Linked DNA regions of Drosophila melanogaster. The protein of the gene in region 2 interacts with the protein of the main gene of each other region in a pairwise test. Each region holds a gene or a part of one and is shown on either strand. Other genes may lie near its edges.

Region 1 (4,041 bases), on a different chromosome or scaffold from region 2:
CAGATGAGCCCTTGAAACCAGTGTATCTGCCGGTTTTCCTCACAAAGAAAGAGCGCAAAAAGCTTCGTCGCCAGAACCGTCGCGAGGCCTGGAAGGAGGAGCAGGAGAAGATCCGACTGGGTTTGGTGGCCCCACCAGAGCCGAAACTGCGCATATCCAACCTGATGCGTGTGCTTGGCTCGGAGGCCGTACAAGATCCGACCAAAATGGAGCAGCATGTGCGCGACCAGATGGCCAAGCGGCAGAAGGCGCACGAAGATGCCAACAATGCGCGCAAGCTGACCAGCGAGCAGAAGAGCGAAAAGAAGCAGCGCAAGCTGAGGGAAGACACCAGCTGCGGTGTACATGTCAGCGTCTATCGCATACGAGATCTGCAGGACAACCAGAGCAAGAAATTCAAGGTGGAGACCAATGCCAAGCAGCTGCAGATGACCGGCAGCGTGGTGTTGTTCCGGGATTGCTGTGTGGTTGTCGTGGAGGGTGGGCCCAAGCAGCAGAAAAAGTATCGCAGGCTCATGCTAACGCGCATTAAGTGGGAGGAGGACAACGCCAAGGGCAATGACGGCCAGGACGTGCCGAACTCATGCGTACTCGTCTGGGAGGGGACTAGTCAGCGACGGCACTTTGGCGAGATCAAGTTTAAGATCTTTCCAATGGAAAAAATGGCCCGTGAGTTTTTTCAGAAGCACCAGGTCGAACACTACTGGGATCTGGCCTACTCCGGAGCCGTGCTTGAGGCCTCCACGGATCAGCAGTAGATAAAAGGCATTTTAAGAATTGCTAGATACACTACAGTTCTACAAATTCACTTTCGGAAAGATACAAGTCTGAATTAAAGTTTTGAAGCGCGCTACGCATTTGATGTTATTATTTTCGAAGCTATTCGGAACTTTGGAAGTGCAAAAATAACGAATAAAAGTTTTATCTGGACTCTAAATATTTGTAGTAATCATTTTTTAAGTGGTGGTTGTTGTTCAAATAGATCTGGGATTTATATTAGTATGATTTATTCTCAACCAACTACTGCCTCTTTACATAGGGATCCTCCCGGATGTTCGATTGTATAAACTCCTCTGGTCCTTGCTTCTTTAGCTTCTCGATTATTTCCTCCAAACGCTGATCTTCTAGAGCGGTCTCGGCTTTCTCGCGTAGATCTAGTTCGTGCTGCTCCTTCACCCGCTTCGTGAGCACGCCTTTGACTAGTTCTCTCAGGGACTTGTTAATGGCCAGGGTGTAATCCAGCAGCTTTACATAGGTGGCTGGACTGAGATATCCGCACTGCTGGCACTGGGCGATCTGTTCAAAGGTATCCATGCTGGCGGTAATGATCAGGCCGTGCTCCTGGGCGGATGATGGGCTGGTTGTGCTATCGGTGCTGCTGTTGCGATGCTTCCAGAGCAGCTCCTCAACCTTGGCACTGGGATTCAGGAAGACGTGATCCCGATAGATACAAGCTGTGGAGGCCGTAATTAAGTCGTAAGTGGAAATGCCGCACTCCACCAAAGCGACTCCGCAGCAATTGATGGCAGTGCTGAGCAGGCAGCCGTCATCGTCGAGAATAAGCACCCGTATGTCCAGCTGAAAGTTAAGGAACTCCGTGCGGCACACCACCGGCTCCATGGCCTTGGTCAGCATGCTGCTCAGGTGGCGTTCCCGTTCCGGCACCGAATCTAGATCCCCTGTGCTGAAGGCCGCAAAATTCACATAGCAATTCAGAACACCCATGTTCATTCTGCGTGCGCTGGCGCGGATTAGCTCCTTTGGCGGGGCCACAATGGCCAGAACCTTGGTGTTACCATACTCCATGTAGGCGGAACCTCTCACTGTGGTCAACACACCGGCGCGGATGACTGTAAGTCACAAGAGGTATGAGAAATTGAAATACAAATAAGGATGTGCACTTCTAACAGGTGTTTCTGGGTGCCAGTTGTGTTGGCTCCCTCGACGGTTTGTCTAGACTCTCAAAGAAATCCTCGCTTTCCTGCGGAGTTGTGTACGGCTCTTCCTCAATGGAGGCTCCATCGAGTAGGGTGTTCTTCGTCTGGTTCACCGCTAGCATATTTATATTATATCTTTTGATTGAATATAAAAATAAACAAACTGAGTTCACATGTGGTCTAAAGACTTTTAAGTTTTCGATTAAAATACAAATCTGGTATTTTTGTATATTTCGATATTTTATACCGATTCTGTATCGTTTCGTGGGTTATCGTATTTGAATGAAAACCTTCAAAGAACCTTAATAATAAGAACCTAAAATAAGTCTTCTTATTAGTGCTAATTGTGCTAATTATTTATAAAGTCTAAATAATGTTTTGATTCCTTCTGATAATTGATAACTTAGTAGTATTTTCTTTGTTACTAAGAGAAAAAAGAGCTTAAATATAATCGCAGAAAAATCGATTGCCGAAGTGTAAAACAACGCTTAAGATAACGCTAATCCACTCGGTACAGACTGAAGAGATTTCTGGGAATATGGCCGACAAGAAGCACTGCCATGGATGGCCTTGCATCAGGCCTGGAATAGTGTGTCGCGGAATAGAATACTGATGGTAGGATATATGCCCGCGTTATAGATTTTACTTTTGAATTTCAGTGAAGAGTTGCGAGGCTAGCTTTAGTATTATCTTAAAAGAAAATTCAAGACAAGTAAAAGCCATGCGGAATAGCCATTATTTCGGAGTTACCCATTCATAGTTTGAAACCCATATCTCTAATATTATATACACCTGACGACTGATTCCTTTTTTTGCAGGACCAAAAGTTCTGCCATTGCTGCTGATATGAAAGTCAAGAGAGAAAAAAATTAGAACCACAATACCTCGGATCAAGAGGATTTCTCAAATTCACAGCTTTTGGGGTCCGATGACGGAGACAGTTTTGTAGGAGATGCCGAGAATTCATCTAATGAATCAGTGTCAGTGAAATAATGTTTTTCCTAAACTCACGAAGATATTACGCAGGATGAATGTTGGAACTAGAGAGATCCATTAACATCCTAACCAACCATCAACCAATTTCTGAAGAAATCAGATTAGATCAGTTAATTTCAAGAGACCCATTTTTGCATATTGGGACTCGCTACTTCACCAAATACTTCCGCAGCAAAAGCAGACAAGAGTTTTTTGGCCAGAAAATAACGCATTGTGTCATAAGTAGCCCAACATGTTTGAAAATATAAACGATCTCCGTTGATATCAAGGAATTACAGCTAATACAACTGCAAAGGCCGGAAGTTAAATGGATATTTAAAATATCTGCATATCACAACATTTTTAAATATATACACATACACAAATATAGTTAGCTTTTTCTTTCACTTTCTAAACCTTTCAATTTTGATTGGCAAGGCCCCTAAAAATCGATAAGGTGAAAGTCACTGCCATCACTATTTGAACGTTACCAGCTCGTGGTAACGGTAGCTGATTATTCTGGTATTTTAAACAGATTAGCGCGGCATAGCCTGGCGTTCGCCGCGCGGTCACACTGCAAAAAGCGCTGTGTAATTCTGCTGTTTCAACAACGAAAAAGAAGGAACAAAGCCGCATAAACCGCATTACAATCGAAGAAAACGTAGTGCCAATTAAATCCCTTAAGTCCGACAAGCTAGGAAAGAAATCATGACGGGCGAGACCAAGCTGGAGAAGAAGCCGCTGAAGCCGGCGGCATCCGAAGGCGATGCCAAGGATCCGAAGGCCAAGAAGGATGAAAAGAAGGACGGCAAGGACAAGGAGCAGCAGCCGGAGCTCTCCGACGAGGACCAGCAGCTGCAGGAGGAGCTGGAGCTGCTGGTGCAGCACTTGCAGGAGCCGGATGCCAAGCTCTACCAGCCGACGCTGGAGAGTATGGCCAAATTGATCAGAGCCTCCACGACGTCGATGACCTCGGTGCCCAAGCCTTTGAAGTTCATGCGCCCGCACTACGAAACCATGAAGACGGTGTACAAGCACATGCCCAATGAGCAGGCTCGCCAGTTGTGCGCCGACATCATCTCAGTGCTCTCGATGACCATGGGCAGCGGCAAGGATTGCCTGGCCTACC
Region 2 (3,339 bases):
TCATCCATCAACAACAGCTCCCAGCGACATTGATTGGCAACGGGCTACGGGTTTTTACGCCTCTGACGCCTGAGCCTTTACAACCATCTATTTGCCTTTATGATTATATATTTTTTTTTTTGGGAACACGTGCAATTGCATGTTATTGAAATTCGGATTACTTGGAATAAGTACCTGTCGTTTACCCTAAAAGTTTTTATGTTGCCAACCTATAAAGTGCATGTGCCTGCATATATTTAGATTACCTTGTGTTTATGAATTATTTTAAACATAAAATATGTTTTGTTAAGTTGCTAGAACAAATTACCGCACAATTTCTTTAATCTATTCCCATGACTTTCGAATCTATAGAGATACTTTTAAAAACAGCAATTGCATGACGATCCAATATTAAATTCTAATCTCTTGTTGAATCATTATAACAAACCAATCATGAATAAATAACAAATATAAGATACGTATCAATCATAAAAGCTAAACTATGGAAACCAGCTTGTTTTGAACTTTTACAACTTAATTATAGATTTATTTAATGATTTGAAATAATGTAAACTGTCAAATAGCTACTTATCAACGTTGCTATGGAAATAAAATGCTAACATAAACCTGTATCCATATTCAGCGTCCTCTGGTTGCCAAGACATATAATTATTTGGCTAATAATCACTTACTAAAACATTTTTAGTTCCACAAATGAATTTAAGCTTCTGATTAACATGCGATTGACCTTATTTCACAGCATTTATTGAACTCTCAGGCAGAACTTTAGCCACTTTCCGTGGCTCCTTGATCGTGGTCTGGGGGCACTGCATCTCGCTCCAGCCGACCGGCACCATGGGCACCCGGGTCTTCCGGTAATCACTGGCATAGGCGATGACCACGCCGAGTTCATTTTCGGCGGTGGTCAGGAGGAAGGACTGCTCCAGTTGGTTAATGACCCTCGCCAGGATGACATCGCCCGGCCGGAAGGACTTGTAGATATCGACGCGATCTTTTTCGGTCTCCCGGACATCCTCCTTGCGCAGAAGTCCGCGGTAGCTGCTTTCCAGCAGCACATTTCGTACGCAGAAAATGGCGCACTTGGCGAATTTTGGAGTTGTGACGAGAACTCTGGCTGTGACCACGTCTCCGGTGGCTGGGATGGTTAGATGAAATCCGGGCTTATGCACACTAACCACCTGGCACTGAAATGGAGATTAATTGGTTCCCAGAGTCAACGAAATGCCAGGATTACTTACTTTATCACCCGAATCTTCGATGTTGACAATTCCAGACTTGGAGGCGTAAATGTAGCCATTCTGCTCGTAGGTGCCTATGCCCAGGACTATGCTGTCCTCGGTTCTGCAGAGTCGCTCCCCGGGCAGGCAGACTACAGTCTCATCCTGCTGTTCACTCATTTTTAGGCCAGAGACAGTTTTTATTTTAAAAAATAAACTAAATAATAAAGCCGCATCAACAAATGGAAACACACGTGCAATGCAGTGTGACCAATATGTGGCAATTGTTAAAATGCTAGCGACAACTTTCTTAATATCACAAGATTTAAAGGCATCTTATATCATTCCTGCTTTGCTATAATAAACTTTATTGTCATGAAATTACATTTAGGAAAATGTACAATTTTTAACTAACTTCTGTAATTAACTTTTGTATGTGAGTATAAAAAGCTATGTCGACTATTTTGCCTGGTGTGCACCGCTGGCGTAAGCGTTTTCCAACACTACTACTGAGCGTGTTTACGCCGGTGCCGCCAATAATTTTCCGTTTTCGTTGAGGTTTTTATATTAATTTGTTGTGCTAGCAAGATGCCCACATCCAAACTGCAAGCCAACATGAGCTACCGCGAGGTCATACCGCGGAACCTCAGTCCGGCGGAGTGGATCGAGGTGAAAATTAACACGGGTGAGTTTCGTGCAAGATTGCCAGAGAAATTCTGAGTAACCAAATGCTCCTCCGCAAAATGTAGGAACCCAGAGCACTTTGCAGGATTTAAAAACCTTCGAAACCTCCGGCGGCTATTGCTACAAGAATACGAAAAATGTTCAGACCAGAAACCGTTTCATATATTGGTAAGTGCAAATCAGAATCGTTAAATTAGTTTCACATGGCCACTGATTTGCAGGCGGACATACCAGGATGTCCTGGAACTATCAGAGGTTAGTTTGGACATCTCCCTGCAGAGGAATCACCTGCGTCTGCGATTCACCGACTCCGCTGTGCTGAATGTATCACTCACGGAGCAAGGTACATCCGTCACCCTGCTGGTGGTCACGGTCAGCAGTGTGCATCGCTATGTGTTTCCCTTGAAGGTCGCTGGGCAGGAAGGTGGCGCAGCTTCTCCAGAGGATCTGCTATCCCAGTCCATTTTCTACGACGTCAATGACAAGATCAATGATCCCAGCACTTACTATGTCACGGATGGCTTTGGAACTATGCCCAACGCGGCTGTATCGTACCTCACTCAAGACTCCCAGTCAGCCTACTTTGCGGTGGCGTATCAGAGCAAACTACTGCTTCACGTTATGAAATGCTCCACCGGCCATACTATCACCCACGAAATCAAGGAGCCGAAGCTAATGCCATGGTTTCTGTCGAATCTCAAGGGTGCCCTCACGTAAGTGGATAAACCTCGATAAATGGCAAATCCCTAATGTTTCATTAATCATTGTAGCGGCCGCTCTGAAACGTTGGAGGCAGCCACGTCCATGGCTTTCAGTGAAATCGGGGGGGAAATTTTCATTCTGGTTCTGTATCGCAATAATGAGCTGCGTCTATGGTCAGTGGATAACTTGCAGACTGTAGCCAGCATTAACTGCTCCACCGAACTGGGACAGGACTCAGCAGCTCAAGGACGTGAGTATAAAATATTATTACGATTTAGATTTATGATCTAGATATAATGGGATTATATTCTTTTTTTTAACAGCACAAAACAGCCAGCTCCGAAAAATAAGCGATCAAAACTTCTGTCTATTTCTCTCGCACAATTCCCGAGCTGAGTTTATATGCGTTAGCATAATGCCCGATGCCGACGATGCCAGCGTTATCAATTTGGTGCAGAACATGGTGCCGGCGCCGCAAACGGATTTGGTCGACTTCGATGCCACATCCTCGCACATCTGGGCCCTTTGGAGCAACGCTGAAGGCGATTTCCATGTCTCGGCAGCATATTTTGCCTCCAACAACGCAATCAAATGGGTTTCGGCTGCTCTAGAACCGCCACCGGATCGGTATTGTCTCACCATGGAGCAGGGAGTGGATCCACGCGAAACTTACTGCAGCTATATATTTCATCCTGGTCGATTTGACCGAAATGTAATTGCCAAGGCTTTATATGTG

Evidence for each region. Proteins that work in one complex are often made in the same cells at the same time.
Region 1: the proteins of Csl4 (region 2) and Mtr3 interact in a two-hybrid assay, tested with the Drosophila melanogaster proteins (2 studies listed by BioGRID).

Annotation. Positions count from the first base shown.
Region 1 is NT_037436.4:19,911,571-19,915,611, forward strand, and holds Mtr3 (Mtr3), read right to left. Parts: upstream 2,146-4,041; 5' UTR 2,060-2,145; coding exon 1,909-2,059; intron 1,851-1,908; coding exon 1,021-1,850; 3' UTR 835-1,020; downstream 1-834. Other genes in the region: Prp3 (precursor RNA processing 3), read left to right, coding at 4-758; Rpn1 (regulatory particle non-ATPase 1), read left to right, coding at 3,621-4,041.
Region 2 is NT_033779.5:11,122,074-11,125,412, forward strand, and holds Csl4 (Csl4), read right to left. Parts: upstream 1,495-3,339; 5' UTR 1,398-1,494; coding exon 1,239-1,397; intron 1,185-1,238; coding exon 729-1,184; 3' UTR 501-728; downstream 1-500. Other genes in the region: Nup160 (nucleoporin 160kD), read left to right, coding at 1,806-1,902, 1,967-2,069, 2,123-2,614, 2,672-2,853, 2,927-3,336.